Diceros bicornis minor: one gene and its partner. The main gene of each other region encodes a partner of the protein of the gene in region 2 in a complex. Links are inferred from orthologs where the notes say so. Each region holds a gene or a part of one and is shown on either strand. Other genes may lie near its edges. The genes, in order: PLXND1 and GIPC1.

Region 1 (9,881 bases), on a different chromosome or scaffold from region 2:
ATTCTACAGAGGGGGAAACTGAGGTGCTCATACAGATCACATCACTCCTCTGGCTAAAACCTTTCATGGCTCCCCATGGCCCCAGAATACAGTCTGGACTCCACAAGGTGGCCTGTCAGCACCCCTCCCAGCACCTGCACCCACAGGCCCCGCCCACGCCCTGCCCCCAGCCACCATGATCACCTTTCAGGTGCTCTAGCCTGCCTTGCTGTTTCCTACCTCCAGGCCTTTGCCCAGGCTGTTCCCTCAGCCTGGACCCTTTCTTCTCCTCTTGCTGGCCTCCTGCTCCTCAACCCACCTCCGCTTTGACATCACTTTCCCCAGAAGCCTTGATGCCCTCCCCAGCCCCTCTGCCCAAGTTCCCCCATCACAGCCCTCATGCCCCTGGGCTGTAAGGGCCTGGCCACATGTCTGTCTTTGCTTGCCTGCTGGGTCCATGAGAGCAGACACTAAGTGAGCACGGGGCTGGGCACACGGCAGGGGCCTGGGAAATGTAGACCAAGGTTTCCATCTGGGGCCAGAGGTGGGAGATGGTGGGGTCTTCACTGCTGCACAACAAGCCAAAATAGGTCAGTGCTGTCCAGACCAAGCCCAGACCTGCGCTAATAATGCCCTCTGGGGCAATAATAACAACAATCACAGACATCTGCCAGGTGCTTACTGTGTACCAGGTATGACGTGCTTTCTATCAATGAGTTCACTTAGTTCTTAAAACAATCCTTAGAGATGTGTTTTTATTGTCCTCACTTTACAGATGAAGAAACTGAGGCTCAGAGAGGTTAAATCACTTGCCAAGGTCACACAGCTGGGAAGTGACAGAGTAGAATTCCAACCCAGGTTCTTAGCCTATAACTGGGGAGTTGGCAACAGCCTGGCCCAAGAATAACTATCACCCTCCCCACCCCCGCCCACGGCTGTGCTAGAGGACCAGACCCTGGGGCCTTGGACACACCTAGGAGGTACTGCCCAGCAGCACTGGCCTGTGCCCACAGCTGGGCATGGGGAAGGGGAGAGGAGTGTGGAGGATACAGGGAGAGTGGCCAAGGAGGGCCGGGAATCCGCCTTGCCTTGGGGTGAGGAGGAGGCCCTCAGCCACTCTGTCCCTGGGGCCCTGTCCCTGGAGAGGCCCTGCCCCCTCAGGAGAGGGAAGCCCCAGCCCCCTCCAGCAGAATGAGTCACTGCTCCAGGCCAGGCTGGGGACGAGGGACCGTGGGAACCAGGACGGTTCCTGCCAGAGGGGGAGGCAGAGACTGCTGCGGCTGGAGGAATCCCACAGATCAACTCACACTCAGGGCTTGGATGGACATGCCTGGGCGCTGGCCCAACCTTGACCCCGGCCCAGACAGGGTCTTCCCTTCACAGGGCGGGGGTGACTCCCACTCACCTCCTCCGACTTGGAGAATCCCACAAACAAAGCTTGTCCCCTCAAACACAGCCTGTTGGGGGATATAGCCCCGGGGAGGGGAACGGTGGTGGATGTTGCAGCCGTGGCGCTGGGCAGCTGGCCCTGAGCCGGTCGGCCCCTGCGGGTGGCAGCGCCGCTCCCTGGGACAGTCTGCCCCGCTCACCAACAGCGCCCTTTATTTTCAGGGCGGCCAGCCAGCCCAGTGGTGGGCAGCCGCGGGAGCCCGACGGCAGGAGAGGAATCTGCGTTTCTGAAAGCCCCCGTGTCGGACACACCCACAGGGGAATAATTAATCTCATGAGATTTTTGCCCCAGCCTGAGGACCACTCAGAAGGGATGGGGCAGAGCCACGGGGGGCCTGGCCCCAAGGAGGGCTCTGTAACCACAGGAGAAGGCTGAGTTCAGCATTTTCCTGAGGGAGAAACTGAGGCTTCCTAGGGGAGTGACAAAGCCTGGGGTTGAAATGGACTGCCCAGACTCAGAGCGGGATGGCAAGTGTGGAAAAGGCACAGGGTCCCACCTCCAGGGCCCCCTGAAGAAGTGACCCCTTGCTGGTGGGCTTCCTTGAGGGAACTGCACAAAGTTCCCCCTGCACCACTGTGTCACGTTCCACCCAGGTCAACACACCCACTGATCCCAACCTGGCCCCTTCGCCACTGCCCAACCCAGCCCCAGACACCTGCCCCCATTCCCACCGAGCTGGGGTGCCCACATACCTGGCCCCTCTTTATTCCCTCCTGAGCCCCATGGCCCTCTCCTGCCTCCTGCACACCCCGATCTGCACACAGTCCTGTTCACCTCCCTCCACTCTCCTGGCCCCGGCACCTCCCCACCCCTTCTCCCTGGACTCCAACACAAACACACACACACACACTGAGCCCCATGTCTGTAAGGCAGCAAAGGCTCAGCAGCATTAAGAACACAGATACGGAAGCCAGACAGCCTGGATTCAAATTCCGCCTCTGTTAGTTCCCAGCTGGGTGATCTTCAGCAAGTTACTTAACCTCTCTGTGCCTCAGTTTCTTCATCTGTAAAACGGGGATAAGAACAGAGCCCACCTCAGAGAGTTGTTGTGAAAACCAAGAGAGTTACGCCACATAACACGCTTAGCAGGCATTCCACAAGCGTTACTATCTACCCCATAGCCTCCATGCTTGGTCTATGCCAGGTGTTCAGTAAATATGGGTTGAAGGAGTGAATTAAAGTTGGCCTCAAGAACACCAGCGCCCTCCCCAGAGTACATACTGGTTCCCAAACACCTGTGTCCCCTGCCACACACGTCCCACTGGGCACCCAGGCCTGCCCTGTTGCACCAGTGTCCCTGCAGCACAGGCTTCCTGCCCTACACTCCTGCACGACCCAGCTCGGGGACACAAAAGTCTGGTGCACACACCCCTGTCACTCCCACCTTGCTGCCCCCCCACATCTGCTGGGCCCTGGTCCACACTTGCATGCCTCCCCACCAGGCCCGTGCATACATCTGCCAACTCCCAATGGCAGCCCTGAGAGGCTCGCACAGCCGGCCCAGCACGCCTTCGGTCAGACAGTGCACTCACTGCTATGCGCTCCGCCCGGACCTAGGACCCCCACACGCACACCTGGGCTGTGTAGGCACCTCGGTCTCTCTTCAGCGCGCACCTGGGTACCCATCCGAAGCCCGGACCGCCCCCCACCCCCGCACACTCAGGTATGCACACCTGTAATCCCGCACTCACTTGAGTGCCCGCATGCGCACATCTGGGCCATATTCACGCCAGTGCCCCCACCTCGGCTGACACCTGTATCCTCGCGAGCACACCTGATCCCCGAATATGCATTTGTGGCCCGGAGTACACAACTGGATCCCCACACACGCACATCTGGGTACCGGCACGCTCACACCTGTGACCGGCACGGCGCACAACCCGCCCAGTTATCGGCACGCTCTCCCCCGAGCCCCCTGTGCTGGTCCCCCGCGCCCCCGCTGCCTAGGTGTACCTGGATGTTCCGCTTGCGCTCGCAGGCTGGCCCGGTGCCCTGCACCACGCTGTCGAGCACAGCCACCACGTCGGGTGCGGGTTCAACGAAGCAGGCGGTGCGTGCAGCGCGGATGGCTGCTTGCACGTCGGCGAAGCGGAAGGCGCAGAGAGCCGCCGGGGCCGCGCGGGCCGCCGGGGGTCCCTGGGGCCGCTCGAAGACCGCAAAGAGCAGCTCGCGCGCGGGGAAGACGGACACCAGGCGGCTGTAGAGGTCGCCGCGGCCCGCGCCGCCCGCGCACTGCAAGCCCAGCTGGATGTAGGACTCGGTGAGCTTCTTGGCGTCGCCGCCGGCGCCGCGGGGCAGGCAGATGCGCGCCAGCAGGCTCCGCGCCTGGCTCTCCTTGTCGCCCGCGCGCGCCTCGCTGTTGAGCGCCAGGTACGCGTAGGACGGGGCGCCCGGCGGAGGGTCAGGCGGATGCAGGAAGGCGCGCACGAAGCCCAGCTTGTGCTGCTCCTTGGCACCCTGCTTGATCTTGAGAATGTTGTCGTCGGAGGGGTTGAGGTCGAAGGTGAAGAGCTTGGCCAAGTCGCCGCGCGCATCCAGGGAGCGGATGGCGATCTCGGGCGTGTTCTCGAAGCGGTGGTCCTCCAGGCTGCGGTTGCGCGGGAAGAAGGCGCTGCCGTAGCCGGTGTACGTGGCGCCCACGAGCAGGCGGCTGCCCCCCGTGCCGGCGGCCGGCGGCAGCACCAGCCCCACGGTGGACGCGTTCGGGTGGTTGGCCGCCACGTTCAGCATGCTGGGGAACACAGTGACGGGCTCGGCGGGCGGCGCGGCGGGCGGGAAGCGCACGGCCACGGCCGAGATGTTGCCCCGGCGCCGCAGCTGGCAGAAGCCCTGGTAGATGGAGCCGCACACGACCACCAGGCCCTGGCCGGGGTCCAGCTGCAGGATCTTGTTGTAGTTGTCGGTGAGGCGCCGCGGGTGCTCGCACGAGGCCTGCGGCAGCTGCGGGGCGTGACACAGCGGGCTGTCGGCCACCGGGCCCACGGCCGCCTCGACCTCCAGGCTCAGGTTGGCGCCCGACAGCTGGTAGAGGCGGTTGACGGCCGCCAGGTACACCGTCCCCGCCGCGCCGTCCAGGGCGAAGTTGTTGGTGGGCGTGGGCGAGGGGAACCGGCGCTGGATCTCCAGGGCGCCGGCCCACGCCGCCCCGAGGAGCAGCAGCAGCAGCAGCAGCGGCGGCGGGCACGGCGGCCGGCCCCGCGGCCCCGGAGGGGCGCGGAACGGCGGGCGCGGCGGCGGGGCGCTGGCCGCGGCGGCCCGGGCGCTAAGGGGTGCGCCGCCCGCGGCGCGACGAGCCATCCGGGCGTGCGCGGGCTGCGCGGCGCGGCGAGTGCATGGGGCGCGGCGCGGCCGGGCGCCGGGAGCCGGGAGGCGGCAGGAGGCGGGGGGCGGGCCCGGGCCGCGAGGCGCTTCCTGCCCGCGCCAGCCGCCCCCGGCCCCGGCGCCCGGGCCCGGCTCAGCCGCGCGGCGCAGCCCGGGGGCGGGGCGGGGGCGGCTCCGCTGCGGACACGCCCTCGCTCCCCGCCCCCGGCGCGCCCCGCCCGGCCGCGCCCCGCCCCCGGGCCCCTCCCGCCCCGCGCCCCCGCCCCGGGCAGCCCGCCCGCGCTCTGGCTGCCGGGCCCGCGCTCGACTGTCGGGGGGTCGGGCCGCCCCGCGCCCTCCGCGACCCGCCCGCGCGGCGCCCGTGGCCCGAGGCTCCCTCTCCCGGCCCTGCCTCCGCCTCCGTCGCCCGCTCCTCTTGCGCCTTCCTTCCTTTTGGCCGCTGGGCCTGTCTCGCTCTGGTTTGTTCTCTCGTTTCCTTCCTCTCTTTCTCCCCGCGGTCCCTGTCTCTCTCCCTCTCCGTGTGTGTCCCTCTCAGTGTCTCCCCGTCTCTCTCTAACCCCCCAACTCCGTGCGTGCTGTCTCTCTCCTTTTCTGCCTCTGCTTCTCCTTCTCTCTCGCTCTCCCGTCCCTGTCACCCGCCTCCCTCCTTTATCCCCTGCCTCATTCTCCCTCTCCCCTCTCTGCTCTTCTGTCCCTGGCTTTCTCCTTCTCTCCGTGGCTCCCTCTGCTTCCTCCCCTCTGGACCGTCTGCCTCTCTCCCCATCCCTCTGGCCCCTCTCCCCTCCATCTCTGTCTACCCTCTTCTCTCCTCTGCCTTCCTCATCCTCGGCCCTCCCTGACCCTCCCCGTCTCACACTCAGGGTCTCTCCCCTTCCACTCCCTTTCGCGGGCCGCTGTCCAGGCCTTAGACCCCAGGGTCAGGGCACGCCCAGGGCCAGCCAGGCCGGGGTCACCACCTCTTCAGACCCCATGATCTGTTCCCCAAACTCCATCCCCATAAGAGAGGTTTTACAAGTGGCAGAGACTGAGGGACCAATTCAAGGGTCAGACGCATAAACCAGGAAAACAGGGAAAGAGGAGCGATTTGAGGCCTGTGCCAGGCCAGGGAGCAGGCCGGGTGGGTCAGCGACATCCAGAGTGAGGCCTTGGTCCTGGCGGCGAGTGGCCCCTGGAGGCCCACAGTTGCCTCCTGTGGAGACCCAGCCCTGTGGGCCGCTGCCCTTCACCCCCCCAACCTCACCGGGCACTACCTCTCTATTCAGGCTCTGGAAGGACTGAAAATCCTCCCAGATTTAGTGGAAGGAAGATCAGCCACATGTGAGCCGCCACTGGGCCCGCTTCTCCTTTCGCCTGGAAGGAGAAAGTAGGCGCTGGGGTCGGAGTCAGACAGTGATGACTCCAAGGTCACAGAGCCTGTATGGTGAGCGTCCACAGTCTGTGGCATGGGGAGTGTTCAAACATGGCCTGACCCGCACCGGCCACTGTGCTGAGCACCTTATATGTATTGACTCACTTCGTCCTCACAGCTACTCTCTGAGGCTGGTCCTATTATGCCATCTTCCACATTCAGAACCCGGGGCCCCAGAGGTGAAGGTACCAGGCCCACTTGCACAGCTGCTAAGGAGCAGAGCTACAATGATTGAAACTCCCAAACCTCCCCCAACCCCAGGCCAGGTCTGGCATCTCAGAACGGGGGGCTCCCATCAGACCCCCAACTGCCACATGGGGCCCCATGGCCCTTGCTCTGAGGCCTGACCTCACTAGTTCCCACCTGGCCAGGAAGGAAGGACAGGAGGTTTCTCTGTTCCCCACAGGGTAGGCAGGAAGGGCCAGGCCTACAGCTGTCCCCTACTTCCCTCACCCCAACACCCTCGCCTTCCTGCCATCAGCATTTGCCTGCCTTTTTCCAACCCCCTCCATCCCCGGTCTGGCCACTGCTTTGACGGCCAGCAGTGTTCAACTGCAGTAAATCGGAGGCTCTGCCCTTCTTCCCCCGGTGGGGGGGATCAAGGCCACTCAGGGGACAGCACCTCCATCTCTGGGTGGGGAGGGTTCATGTTGTGCCACCAGTGGGAGCAACTGGGGAACCTGGCAGAGGGGCAGGAGGCTGCCCTAATGTCTCTCCCCCCACCCCTTCTCACAGCCGTCCCCATCAGTCCATCTGTCTGTCTCTCTCCGGGTCTTATCTTTCTCTAGCCTTCCCCACCCCATCTCTGTTTTCGTCTGTCTTTTTGCTCCTCCCGCTTTCTCTCTCTGTCTCTCTCTCTCCCCCAGTCTCTTCCCACCTCCCTCTCTTTCCACTCTCTGTCTCTTTGTATGTGTCTCTCCTACCTCTCTGTGTCTCTGTCTCTCTCCTTATCCCCCACCCCTCTCTCCCTCCCTCGCCCCTCCTAGCTTCCTTCCTGTCTCCGGGCTCATCTTGCCACATCCTGCAGCTCCCCCCACTGAGCTTTGACGATAATGCTCTGCGTCCTCACAGCTCAGCCTGGCGCACAGTGGGTGGTTCCGGCACTTTGGACACACTACCTGCCAAGCTGAGTGCTGGACTCAGGAGCTGCCCGGCCTGGGGCTATGCAGGGCTAGGTTAGACTGCAGAGGGCACGGCCAGGGTCCAAGTGTCCTGGCATAAGCTGGAGGTGGAAGTGCTGTGTGGCCTAGGGCAAGGCACTTGCCTTCTCTGAGCCTCAGTTTCCTCGTCTGTAGAACAAGGTCAATCATAATAGCACACTGGCCCCTGGGAGGTTGTGAGACTTGAAGAACATAACGTACCAGAAAGCACGGTGCCAGACACATGGCAGGCACTGGGCAAAGGCAGTTTCTCTCCCCTTACATTGAGCAATGGCCCACCAGGGCCCCACTTCCTGTCATGAGTGCTCGCGGTGGCTAGCAAAGCCGCCATCCACCAAGGGCTAAGGGCTGCATCCAGCACTGCCCTGCACAGCCTCATGCCATCTTCACAGCTAGCTGACAAGGCAGGATCATTGGACCCGTTTCACAGATGGAGAAACTGAGGGGCATTAGCAAGGTGAGGATGTGAACCCAGTCTGTCTTCAGATCCTGTGCTTCCTCCCCTGCACCCGTTAGCTGGGAGCTCCTTCAGGCCAGGACAGGTCTGGGGGCAGCTATGCTATACCCCTGGCTGGGCAGAAGAGGTGCCGGTAACTATTGGCTGAAGGAAGGAAGAAAGGAATGAATGAACTCACATCTTCCCTGGCCTGCTAAGATGCTGTGAGTGTCCTCCCAGAAGGGATTTTAGAGGGAACCTAAGGGGAGATTGATGGCACCCAGCAGAGGGTGGTTAGGTGGCACCCAGAATTAACTAACTCTGAATTAACTCACCCAGATTAACCAACCCTGGATTAACTATCAGCTCACCCTGTGATTCGGGCCCTTCTCATTTTTGTTCAAATCTTCTGATTAGATGGAGGAGAAGGTCTCCGTTTTGGGGTTTGTGTGTCTTTATCGCCTCTGTAACATTTGTCACTGTCCTTTTTTGTTTTTTTTTTGGAATTTTATTTATTTATTTTTCCCCCAAAGCCCCAGTAGATAGTTGTACGTCATAGCTGCACATCCTTCTAGTTGCTGTATGTGGGACGCGGCCTCAGCACGGCCAGAGAAGTGGTGCGTTGGTGCGTGCCCGGATCCAAACCTGGGCCGCCAGCAGCGGAGCGTGCGCACCTAACTGCTAAGCCACGGGGCCGGCCCCTGTCACTGTCCATTTTTAATAGCAAGAGGGTCTCAAGCTTGGTGCTGTTGACATGGGCATTCTAGAATGTACTTATAGTTCTTTGTTTTCTTTATAATATTTGCAGTTATTTCCTCGTTTAGGCAAGTGATACTGGGTTTCCAAGTACGATAATGATGAAAAGCTTGCTTGATAAATGCATTTATTGAAGTTTTTAAAACATGAGTTAATTTAAAGACAAAGATGAAGTAGGTCATAATCCAGGTGATGCAAAATGCCGGAAACCTGGGACATGTCAGCCTAACGTAGTGCCTTTGTCGATGAGGACGCGGCAGTCCAGATGGGGCAGCTCCGTGCCTGGGAACCAGTGGTCAGTGGCCAGGCTGGCCCAGCGAAGGCAAGCCCGGGCCTTCCACCACTGCCGGGGCGGGGCCCCCTCCTGCCCTGGTCATCTCCAGCCATCTGGCTACCCAGGGCAGAGCCGTGAGGAGGAGGAAATGTTTGCCTTCTTCAGTTGGAAAAAATAACAGTGGGGCCTGGGCTGTGCTGGGAGGAGGGGGCTCCTGCCTCCCTTCCCTTGGGCCTGGCCTCAGAGAACGCTTCCCCTGCAGGCAACGCTCCTGACACGATGACCGCCCCAAGTGCAACCTTGGTGACAGGAAGGTGCTGGAAACAGAATCCTCCGAGGCAGCCCAGCACGCCCAGCGTGGGCCTGGATGGTGCCAGGAGCCATCACTGTGGCTTCTCGGGGGCTTCACCCATCTGGTTTCTGCCTGGGAGCCACTCTGAGAGGTGGGTCTTATCATCCCCGTTTCACAGATGGGGACACTGAGGGTGGGGGAGTGCCACCACTTGCCTACAGCTGCACAGCTCACCAGCCTCCACAGCCTGCTCTTGGCCACTGCGTCCCAGGCCCAGCTCTGCCCCTCACCACCTGTGTGGCCTTGGTGGCACCAGCCCTCTTCGAGCCTCAGTTTCCCTATCTGGAAAAGGGGAGCGTAAACTCACAGCTGCGGTCAGGATGGAAGACATCTGCGTGTCAGGGTGCCGGGCATGTCAGGCAGTGTGGCTTCCCTGACCTTCCAGCTCTGAAACACGGGTCCTGCCCCCAGACTGCTCAAATCCACCATCTGTACCCACTCAGGAGAGCCCCCACTGCGATAATGGTACCATCCTCATGGCAGCTGCACGGAGGCCTGTCATCGGGACACGCCGGTAAGGGCTCAGATGCGCAAGAGCATCTCATTTAATTAACCCTCCACCAGGTCTCCCTCCCCTCTTCTCATAAATGTGGGTGCCAAGGCTCAGAGAGGCCTAGAGCCTTGCCCAAGGTCACACAGCAAATAGATGGCCCAAAGTGACCCCTGCCCCCTCTCTAGCCTGCATTGCCCTTCCACATGGGATCTCCTGTCATTGCCACCATGTCCTACTGGAGTGGCCCAGGAG
Region 2 (10,134 bases):
ACAAAGCTGTCCCCTAAGCGCCTGGGCCTCAGGTGCCTGGTCTGCAAATGGGGACATTCCACCCACCCAGCTAGGCTGTGGGGAGGATCAAACTAGGCCAAATTCTATTTTTCTGTGTCTAGGGGACTTCCTGCTCCTTCCCTTCAGATCACCTCTTCCAAGGGGCCATCCTGGATTCAGTCCAGCCCAGTGGGCTGCATCCATTCTCATGCCTCCATTCATTCATTCATTCATTCATTCATCCACCTGCTCTCCAACATCTCCAGTAACATCACCTGGTCCGGCCCCACGGTCACTCACCTAGACTAGTGCAGGCGCCTCCTCTGGGTCTCCCAGCTCCTGCCCTTGCCCCTACCGTCTCTTGTCAACACAGCAGCCAGAGGGAGCCTGTAAAACATAAGTCACGTCACATCTGTACTGTGCCCTCACTCCTCCCAAGGCTCCTACCTCACTCGGAGTAAAAGTCAATGTCCTCCCCTCAGCCCACAGGCCCCAGAAGATCTGGGCCCATCTCCTGCCTGCCCTCGTCTCCTCCCACTCTCCCCATCGCTCGCTCCCTCCAGCCACATGGGCCTCGTCCCCGTTCCTCCAACACACTAGGTCAAGTCCAGCCTCAGGGCCTTTGCACTGGCTGTGCCCCCCGGCATCCACACAACTCCGTCTCTCACCTCTTTCAGGTGGAATATATATTTCATTCATTTATCTCATTCATTGTCTGTTTTCTGAAAGGGCAGGGAACCTTGTCTGTCTTATTCATCCCTATATTCTCGGTGCAGAGAGCAGTACCTGGCACACAGCGGGTGGTCGATAAATATTTCTTGAATGAATGAATGGATGAATGACTGATCCTAATGTTCACCAGCCCACCAGTCCCTGTGCCCGGCTCTGGGGAGATAAGGGGTACAGGCTGTAGTCACTGCCCTCAAGAGGGTCCTGTCTCCCCAGCAACAGCATAAGCCCTACCTCTGGGGTCCCCCATCCTTTGCCTCCCAGCATCATTCCGTGCACAGGGAAGGTGCCTCCTGTAGCCAGGAAGACAGGGAGCGTCTCTGTCCTCTTTCATTGTGGTTTTGTTTTTCATTCCCCTCATAATCAATGATGCTGAACAACTTTTAACACATTTATTAACCGTTTGGATTTGCCCTTTTGTGAACTGCCTGTTTAAGTCTTTGCCCATTTTTAAAAAGTGCATGGTCTGTCTGTTTTTAATTGCACTGCCCATCTTTTTTTCTTATTGATTTGTGGGAACTCTTTACATGTACTGGATACTAGTGTTTCATTGGTTACCTCATCTCTCTATCCATAGCACCCAACACTGGATCTAGCACACAGTAGGCACACACCGAATATTTGACAACATTTGAATTCTGAATGAATAAACCAGTACTGCTCCCTCAAGTTATTTCATTACATTCAATGATGCTAAAAAAAAAACCTCACCATCACCTCCTCTGGTTCCCCTCCCCCCACCCCCCATATATCTTAGCAAGATGCTAAGAACATGAGTCTGGAACCTGACTTCTCCACTTACTAGCTGTGTGACCTTGGGCAAGTGTCTTAACCTCTCTGAGCTCCAAGGAAATCAGGCATGGGCCTGGAACAGTTCCTGGCACACAATAAGGGTTCATAAATATTGGTGATTATTACTACTATTTCCATCTGTACCATCTTTCAATCAGCTGCCAAAATTCAAACTTCCTCTTTTTCCCAGGGCCCACACATTCTGATCACCAAGTCCCAACCTCCATATTCTGCATCTACTTGCTGCCTGCTTCAGGCTGGCTTCTGTGTCCCCACTTGTGAGGGGGCATAACGGTGGTAAGAAAAGTGGATGATTAATGAATTTGCCCTCCAGGCCACAAGAGGCAGGGTGGCCTGGGTTGAGACCCCACCCCACTTACCAGCTGCGTGGCTGTGGGCAAGTCACTTCACTTGATGGGGCCTCAGTTTCCTCATCTGAAAAATGGGCAGAATTCCTGTCTCTCAGGGTGCATATGGGAATCCAAAAAGATTATGCATTCAACTGGATTAGCACTTTGCTTGATATTCAGTTTAAGGAAGCTGTTATCATTATTGTCATTATTATTATTGCCTCCTCTCCTGCCCTGCCCAGGAACATCCCAGTCCTCTCTGCCTGAGAAGCCCTACTCCAGGCCACCTCCTCCAGGCAGCCTCCCTGGCTTGCCCCAGCCTGTGGGAACCGCCCCTGTGGTCCCGATGGCTTAGGCCCATGAACTTAATTACAAGTTGCCCGGGCAGGACTCTTGTCTTCCAGTCTTAGGCTGTTATTTAACTTCATGTCTCTATTTTAAAACATAAACCAGATCGCGTCCCTCCCCAGCCTCAAATCTTACAATGGTTTCCCACCTGACGGAGGAAAAGCTCTGGACTCCTTGTGACCCAGAGACTTCGGCTGCATCTCCCACCCCAGGCACGCTACTCCAAGCTGGGTCCGGCCACAGAGCCTGCGCCCCAGCTGTGCCCCTGCCTGACCTGTGCAGGGCTGGCTTCTTTTTGTCATTCAGACCTCGGCCCCAAAGTCACCTCCTCTGAGAGCCCCTTTGCCCACACATTCTCCCAAGGCCCCCTCATATTTTATTCAGAGCACTCAGCACTGTCTGCGGGTACCTTTCTTATTTACTGGTTAACTGCTGTCACCTGTCCCTCCCTTCCACTACAATGGCAGCTTCCAGAGAGCAGGGATTTTTGTCCCGTTCACTGCTGTATCCTATGTGCCAAGAACAGTGCCTGGCCCATTGTAGGTGCTTAATCAACATTGTAGAAAGAATGAATGTCTTATGTCCTCATTCTGACTCCTCCCCAAACTCCTCTATCCTCAGCACACAGCAGCCTGGAGCTGCTAACCACCACGCCCTCCGATGCTCCCAGCCTCCTCTCAACCCCGCAAGCAGGGATGGAGAAAGGAGCTGCAGCCCGGCTGAGCTGGTCGGCTGGAATTCCAGCACCCCCACCCTCTCTTCTCCGGAGGGGCTGGACACTTAGTAACCCCACAGCCACAGTGAGGGCAGCAGGAGGAGGGGAGGGGGTTCCTGGGAGGTCACAGAAGCCGGAGGAGGGGGACACCATGCCCAGGCCCCCCTTTCCAGTTGGGTACTGCTTTGGAGGGGAGGGCGGGAGGCCTCTGATTCACTCTTGAAAAACCGGCTCCTGGGTGTTTCCGGGGAGAATGCCTACTGCCTGGCCTTGGCCCAGGCTTCCCAGGGGCCCAACAGGCACAGGACCCCAGCGTCCTGGCCCCCTGCCTATCTCCCCTGAAGCTGTCACTCTCTTCTCAGGACCTTCTCGGCCTTGCCTCTTCGGCTCAGGGGAGAAGGGACATGGGAGCAGCTTCCTGTTTGAGCGGCTGGTGTCTGGTCACCTCTGGGGGAGGGAATCAAAGACCAGAAGGTGTGGCCCAGATGGTGTGTGTGGTTGTGTGGGGGGAGCTGGCCAGGAACACCTGAGCCAGGGAGCCACGGGGCATCCGCTCTAGTGGTTGAGACTCCAGTTCTGGACTCTGAGGCATGGGTTCGAGTCCCAGAGCTGCCGCTTACTAGCTGTGTGCCCTTGCGCCAGCCACGCCAGCTCTCTGGGTCTGCTGCTTCACCTCTGGAAGAAGTAACAGCACCTTCCACGAGGTGTTTAGATTCAGCGGCAGGCACGGTAAATACGTGACAGGGAAATGTTGAATAAATGCTAGCCGGGCGGCTGTTTCACCATTATTATCGGGACCTCAGTCCTGCCCAGGCCCCCTCAGGCCCTGGGGCACTGGGACGCGGCCAGCTCCGGGGAGGCACCCGGGAGCGCTCCGAAACGCCGACGCCGCGCCTGTCCCCGCCGGGACGGGGACTGTCCAGAGGGACGCGGGCGGCAGGGGTGCGGCCGGAGACCGCATCCCGGCGGCGGGGGGCGTTTGCCCGCTGCCCCCAGCGGGAACGGAGGCGCCCCGCCGGAGGAGGCCTCGGGCATCCCCGCGCCCGGCCTCGACCTCCCGCCGCGTGCAAGGGCCGGCCCCACCCGCGCGACCGGCCGGGCCCCCGCGGTGCGACCCCGCGGTCCGCGCGAGGGGCCCCGAGCCGCCGCGCCGCGCTCCGCCCGCCGGACACTCACCTGCGCCGCCGCCCTGCGCGCCCCGCTCGGCCCTCCGCAAACTCCGGCCGGGCCTCTCCCGCAGCCGCGGGGGGGCGGGGCCGGCGCCCGCGCCCGGCCAATCAGGAGCGGCCGCCCGAGCTCGCGGCCAATCGGCGCCGCGCCGCGCCTCCGCGCCCGGGTGGGCCCGACGGAAGCATTCCAGAGGGATCCCCGCCCGCGCGGCCCTGCCCGCCCCCCGCGCGGCGCAGTGGACCTTCCCGCCCCGCCTAGGCCGCGGCGGGCCGTACCACCGCGCGGCGGAGGGGGAGCTGCGCCGGGCCGGCCCATCGCGGGGAGGGAAGGAGAGTACGACCAGTGGGAAGCTGGGGCCCCTGACCTCGTGCTGCCGGCTGAGCGTCCGTCTGGGGTGACTGGGGGGTGAGGGGCGAGGGACTGGCCGTGGGAGCCAGGTGACCCAGGCTGAGCCCCGGGGAGGGGATGCGAACTCCGGAAGTCCGGAAAAGCGGACCCTTTAGGAGACCAGCCCCTAATCCGGTCCTCTGCCGGGCCTGCCCCTGCCCCAGCCTGGCCATCCTCGGAGCGGACAAAAAGAGGCATTCATTCCAGGCGGGCGGGCCGGGGACGAAATGAATAGGAAGGGTCCCGAGTGTCCCAGCTTCCTGGGGTGTACAATGGACAAGGGCATTCATTCATTCATTCATTCACTCATCAAATATTTAATGTGCCCCTGCTCCGTGCCAGGCTTTGTCCTGTCTCTAGGGACACTTCAGCGAGTAAGCTGAAGATGCTCCTGGTAGAGGGAACAGTGCCTGCAAAGGCCTGGAGGCCGGATGGGGAGATCCAGCGTGCTTTAGGGTGGTGCAATATCGGAGGAGCTACCAAAGAAAGGGTGCAATGGAATGGGGGACAAGGGCGAGATGGCCTGCTCACTTGTTGGTTAGACCAGCAAATACTTACCGAGCACATGCTATGTGCTAGATTGCAAAGGGTACCCAGCTAACCCTAGCCTCCGCCCTCAGGGAGGGGACCCTTCATAAGTCTGTCTCCTCCATCTGAGTGTTCCCCCCGCCCTGGTCCTGAGACTGGCCCAGAGCCGGGTCTCAGCACAAGTGTGGATGAAAGGACCAGGTAATACCACCTCTAGGTTTGGCTTGCACCTGGGATTTCTCAGGCAGGAACACGTCCAAGAAACAAAGACACGAATGCACCTCGCCCAGGCCAGGACTCTCAGTTGCCAGGACAGGTGAGATTTCCTTGTTCTGGTTCAAAGCCAGCCACTTGGGCAGCTGGGGCTGGACCTGGAGTTCGCTGTGTGTTCTGGGATTTGTAGTTCCTGGAGGCCTCTAATTGCTGAGAACCTGCTCAAGCCTCATTGAAGGACTGGGTCTTTGTTGTCCCCAGAGTGAGCTGCTGTGCACCCCAGCCGCGCCAGGGCCTGCAAGAGTGCCACGTGAGGTGGGAAAGTGGGCCTTGGGCTGAGCTGCTGAGGGCTGCCTGGCTGGCCCCACCCAGCTGGCAAACACCGTGCCTGCCATGGCAACAGGCACAGCCATTGTCCTTCTCTTCCTGTTCTGCTGCCCTCTGCCTCCTCACTGAGCAATCAGGTGCCTGGGCTGGGCCAGAGCCCTGTGTGGGACTGCCATTGCCCTGCTTGCCCCTGATATCTGAGCTGCTCCTGCACACCTGGAGAGGGCAGCATGGGAGGCTTCAGGGCAGCAGAATCTTGAGCCTGAATCCACCTTGACTGATGAGGAAGTGCCGAGGGAGGGGTGAGGGGGTTGCCCAAGGGCACAGAGCAGTGCCAGGCACTTCCTACTCGATTTCATAGCTCAAGAGGCTGCCTAGGGGCCGGCCCGGTGGTGTAGCTGTTAAGTTCAGGCACTCCGCTTCGGCTGCCCGGGTTTCCCTGGTTCGGATCCTGGGCACAGACCTATGCACCACTCATCAGGCCATGCTGAGGCACCATCCCACATAGAAGAACTAGAAGGATGTACAACCATGACATACAACTATCTACTGGGACTTTGGGGAGAAAAAAGGGAAAAAGGAGGAAGATTGGCAACAGATGTTAGCTGAAGGCCAATCTTCCTCACACACACACACATACACACACACACAAGAGGCATGCCTGAAAACAATGGGGAAAAGGTACCTTGGAAAAGGTACCTTGGAAAAGGCAGAGTGGATGAACCTGAAGTCAGAGAACCTTAACCAGAGAATTAAAGTTGCCATCACCAGTGATGGGACAGGCTGTCCTCACGTGCCCCCGCTGTGTGTGATGTACTGAGGAGGACACAACATCCTGCCAGAAGTGTTTAACCTGAGGAGACAACCAGACACGTCCTGACTGAGGGACGTTCTGCAAAAAAAACTGACCTGGACTCTTGAAACAGATCTGTGTCGTGAAAGGCAAAATCTAGCCATTAATTTAATGAATGAATGGATAAAAGGCTGGGGAACAGTTCTAGATTGAAGGAGACAAAAGAGAGATGACAACCAAAATCAATGTATGATCCTTTTTTTTTTTTCTTTTTTTTGCGAGGAGGATCAGCCCTGAGCTAACATCCATGACAATCCTCCTCTTTTTTTGCTGAGGAAGATTGGTCCTGCGCTAACATCCATGCCTATCTTCCTCCACTGTATATGGGATGCCGCCACAGCATGGCCTGACAAGCGGCGCATCGTACGCGCCCGGGATCCGAACCCGAGAACCCGGGCCGCCAGCATTGGAGTGCGCGCACTTAACCACTAGGCTACGAGGCCTGCCCCAATGTATGATCCTTAGTTGGATCCTTGATAAAAATTTCAAAAAAAGATGAAACACTACAGAAGGATATTCTTGGGATAATTGGGGACATTTGAATGTTGAGTGGATATTAGATAATAATATATCCATGTTAAATTTCCTGAGTGTGAGGACTGTGCTGTGGTTAGGTAAGAGAGTGTTCTCATTCTTACGAGATACACAGTGCGTTATTTAGAGGTAAGTTCGTGATGCCGGCAACTGTCAAATGCTTCAGAAAAAGAAATATGTATGTATGCAACATTTTATATACACTATGATAATATGGTATACCTTAGTATTAAGATATAGGGAGATAGGGCCGGCCCCGTGGCTTAGCGGTTAGGTGCGCGCGCTCCGCTGCTGGCAGCCCGGGTTCAGATCCCGGGCGTGCACCGACGCACCGCTTCTCCTGCCATGCTGAGGCCGCGTCCCACGTACAGCAACTAGAAGGATGTGCAGCTATGACATACAACTATCTACTGGGGCTTTGGGGGGGAAAAATAAATAAATAAAATCTTTAAAAAAAAAAAAGATATAGGGAGAGAGAGAGAGAGAGAGAAAAAAATGAATGTGGCAAAATAGTAACAATTGCGGCTGAATCCAGGAGGGTGGTATATGGGTATTCATTTCAGTATTCTTGTAAGTTTCCTATAGCTTTGAAAATTTCAAAATAAACATTGGAAAGAAGTACCCCCATTTCCCTCCCATCCCCAGAGGCTGCCATCCAGTGGCTTTAATATGCACTGTTTTGTTTGTGTCTTTCCTTGAAAATGTGCATGTTCTGTTATATTTGGCTTCTTACTTTTTTTCCACTCAGTACTGTATTGCTTGTTTAGTTGTTTGCTTGTTTTCCACTAGGCCTTGAAGATCCCTCTGTATTGCTAATCTCTTGAATCTGTTTTCTTCTAACTGTGGCTTGGTGCTCCATGGAACTCCATGGAATGCATCCCTCACATCTTAGTCCTCTGTCCTCCAGGGATGGACACCAGGCAGCCTCCAGCTCCCCACGCCACAGTGAACAGCCATGGACCTGCCCCCTCAGGGACCTGGTGAGACTCTCCACAGGAGAGAGACCTGAATGCAGAGATGCTGGGGCACAGGGCACAGACCATTGCTCTGTGGTCCCCCAGGCTAGCTGCCCTTGTCACACCCACTGGCAGTGCAGGAGGGTGCCATGTCCCCACATCTCTGCCAGCCATTCTAAATTTTGCCACTCTGACTCACTGTCAAGTGATGTCCCCATTGCTTTATTTTACATTTCTCTGATTTCTGATCACTTGGAGCATCTCCTCATTTCCTTGACGGCCTTTGGATTCTCCTCTTCTGTAAATTGCCCGTTCATACTCTATCCATTTTGCAGTGGGGGTAGCTGTGTTTTTCTTGTTGATGTGCACGTGTTCCTCACAGAGTCTAGATCTTACTGTCCAGTCTGATCTAACACAAACTCTCCCCTCTCCACACGTGGTTACGGAGCACTTGAAATGGGGCTAATACAAACTGAGATGTGCCGTAAGTGTAGAGTACACACTGGATTCTAAGGCTTATTAGAAAGAAGAGGACGTAAAATATCACATCTCATTAATTCTTTTTTATACTGATTATATATCGTAATAATGATAATGTGGATGTATTGGGCTAAAGTGTATTATTCAAATTAATTTCACTTGTTTCTTTTTACTATTTGAATGCGCTCCTAGAAAATTTACAACTTGGTATGAGCTTGCATATTCTACTGGATAGCGCCGGGATACTGGGCCCTGGCCAGTTTCAATAATGACAGAGCTTCCCACGAGCCAGACGCTGTTGTAAGAAATTTATATTTACTAAACCGTTTAACCCTCCTAATGACCCTGTGAGGTGGGCACAGTATTAGACATTGCAAACATATTCCCCCACCGTTATGTGACGATTTGCTTCACCCGTGATATCCTTCAATGGGAGGAAATTCTTAACTTCAATATAATTGAACTTATCCATTTTGTCATTTGCACCCGTGACATTTCATTAAGGAGGCCTTTTCCACCCTTAGATCACAACGTTTTTCTTCTATTCATTCCCTGGTTTTACTTTTCCTGCATCCTCATTCCCTCCCTAGGCCCCCTCGGGGTGTAGGGTAGGACGGTCACATCTCTCCGTAACCTGCGCTGCTCACAGCGCACCCTGGGCCCCCATGTGCCTTAACCTCCTCGTCTATAAAGCAGTGATCAGAATGGGACCCCCCTCCTAAAGTGATTATGATTGTCAAACACCTACAGTGGTGCTGGGCAGATAGTGAGTGCTCAGTGAACAACAGCTGGTATTATTAAACTGTGTTGAGGGCACAGAGATGAATAAACACAGTCTTTCCAAATAGAAACATTATAAAAATAGACCCCTTTATTAAGCCCTTACTGTTCCAGGCCCTGTGCTGGCTGCTCTTTAGGATTAATCCCACTGGCTATCGCCCCCATTCTAGAGAGGAGGAGACAGGCTCAGAGAAGGGGAGCCACTGCCTCAAAGTTGCACAGCAACTCATGGCTGTGGCACTTGAGCTCCAACCCCAGCACACGTGACGTCCCTCTGGAGGTATGGGTTGCACTGTCCTCAACTTGAGGCCTGGCCCTGAGATGTGGGGGACAGGGCGGATCGAGGAGGGAAAGTGCCGAGGGACATCATCCGGGCCACAGTGCTCTTGGAGTTTGATTGCCTGGCTTTTTGTGGTCGGGCTGCTTGTATTAGCCTGGCAGGACTGCACTCTGCGGGGAGGGCCTGGAGGGGATGCAGGGCAGGTGGCCCTGACGGGGCTGGCTCCTGTGGCCCCAGGTTTCTGCCCCAGTGCGGGCGCCCTCTGAGGCTGAATTTTAGGAAGTCGTGATAAAACCCTGCAGCAGTGCTGTTTTCTGGAGGGCCGACGGGCGGCTCTCCTTTCCAAGTACATCTCCAATCATCTCCCTCCACTTCCTCGGCCCCCACCTGGTCCAGCCCCAGCATCTCCTTCAGGACTTCTCCCTGACGCCTGGCTCCACCCTTGCTCCCCGCCCAGGTCTGCTCCCCCCATGGCGGCCAGAGGGCGCCTGGGAGCCCCCAGTCAGCTCTTGGCCTTCTCTGCAGACGACCCCCACCCAGGGGCCATGTGGCCTCCAAACCCCCTTCGCTGAAGTGTTTCATCTGGAGTCAGGCCTGGCCACGCTGGGGTCCAGCATCAGCTTCCCAAGGGAAGTCAGGCGCCCGTTGAGACAAGCCACCCGGGTTCCAGCTCCAACTTCCAGGCAAAAGCA

What was found.
Region 1: the proteins of GIPC1 (region 2) and PLXND1 are in contact, whole or in part, in a crystal structure (PDB 5V6T), measured with the Mus musculus proteins. The link is inferred for Diceros bicornis minor from reciprocal best matches to the Homo sapiens genes GIPC1 and PLXND1. Residues at the interface, in NP_061241.1 of Mus musculus: His61, Glu141, Ala142, Leu143, Gly144, Leu145, Thr146, Ile147, Thr148, Asp149, Asn150, Gly151, Phe156, Lys158, Arg159, Arg190, His191, Tyr192, Glu193, Ala195, Arg196, Leu198, Lys199; in NP_080652.2 of Mus musculus: Glu1400, Met1889, Glu1893, Arg1899, Gln1902, Gln1904, His1905, Glu1908, Ile1918, Tyr1919, Cys1921, Tyr1922, Ser1923, Glu1924, Ala1925.

Annotation. Positions count from the first base shown.
Region 1 is NC_080741.1:87,712,192-87,722,072, reverse strand, and holds the start of PLXND1 (plexin-D1), read right to left. Parts: upstream 4,773-9,881; 5' UTR 4,727-4,772; coding exon 3,383-4,726; intron 1-3,382. UniProt on the Homo sapiens protein: Cell surface receptor for SEMA4A and for class 3 semaphorins, such as SEMA3A, SEMA3C and SEMA3E. Plays an important role in cell-cell signaling, and in regulating the migration of a wide spectrum of cell types.
Region 2 is NC_080769.1:3,389,801-3,399,934, reverse strand, and holds the start of GIPC1 (PDZ domain-containing protein GIPC1), read right to left. Parts: upstream 4,161-10,134; 5' UTR 4,111-4,160; intron 1,957-4,110; 5' UTR 1,902-1,956; intron 886-1,901; exon of another isoform or gene 669-885; intron 388-668; 5' UTR 301-387; intron 1-300. UniProt on the Homo sapiens protein: May be involved in G protein-linked signaling.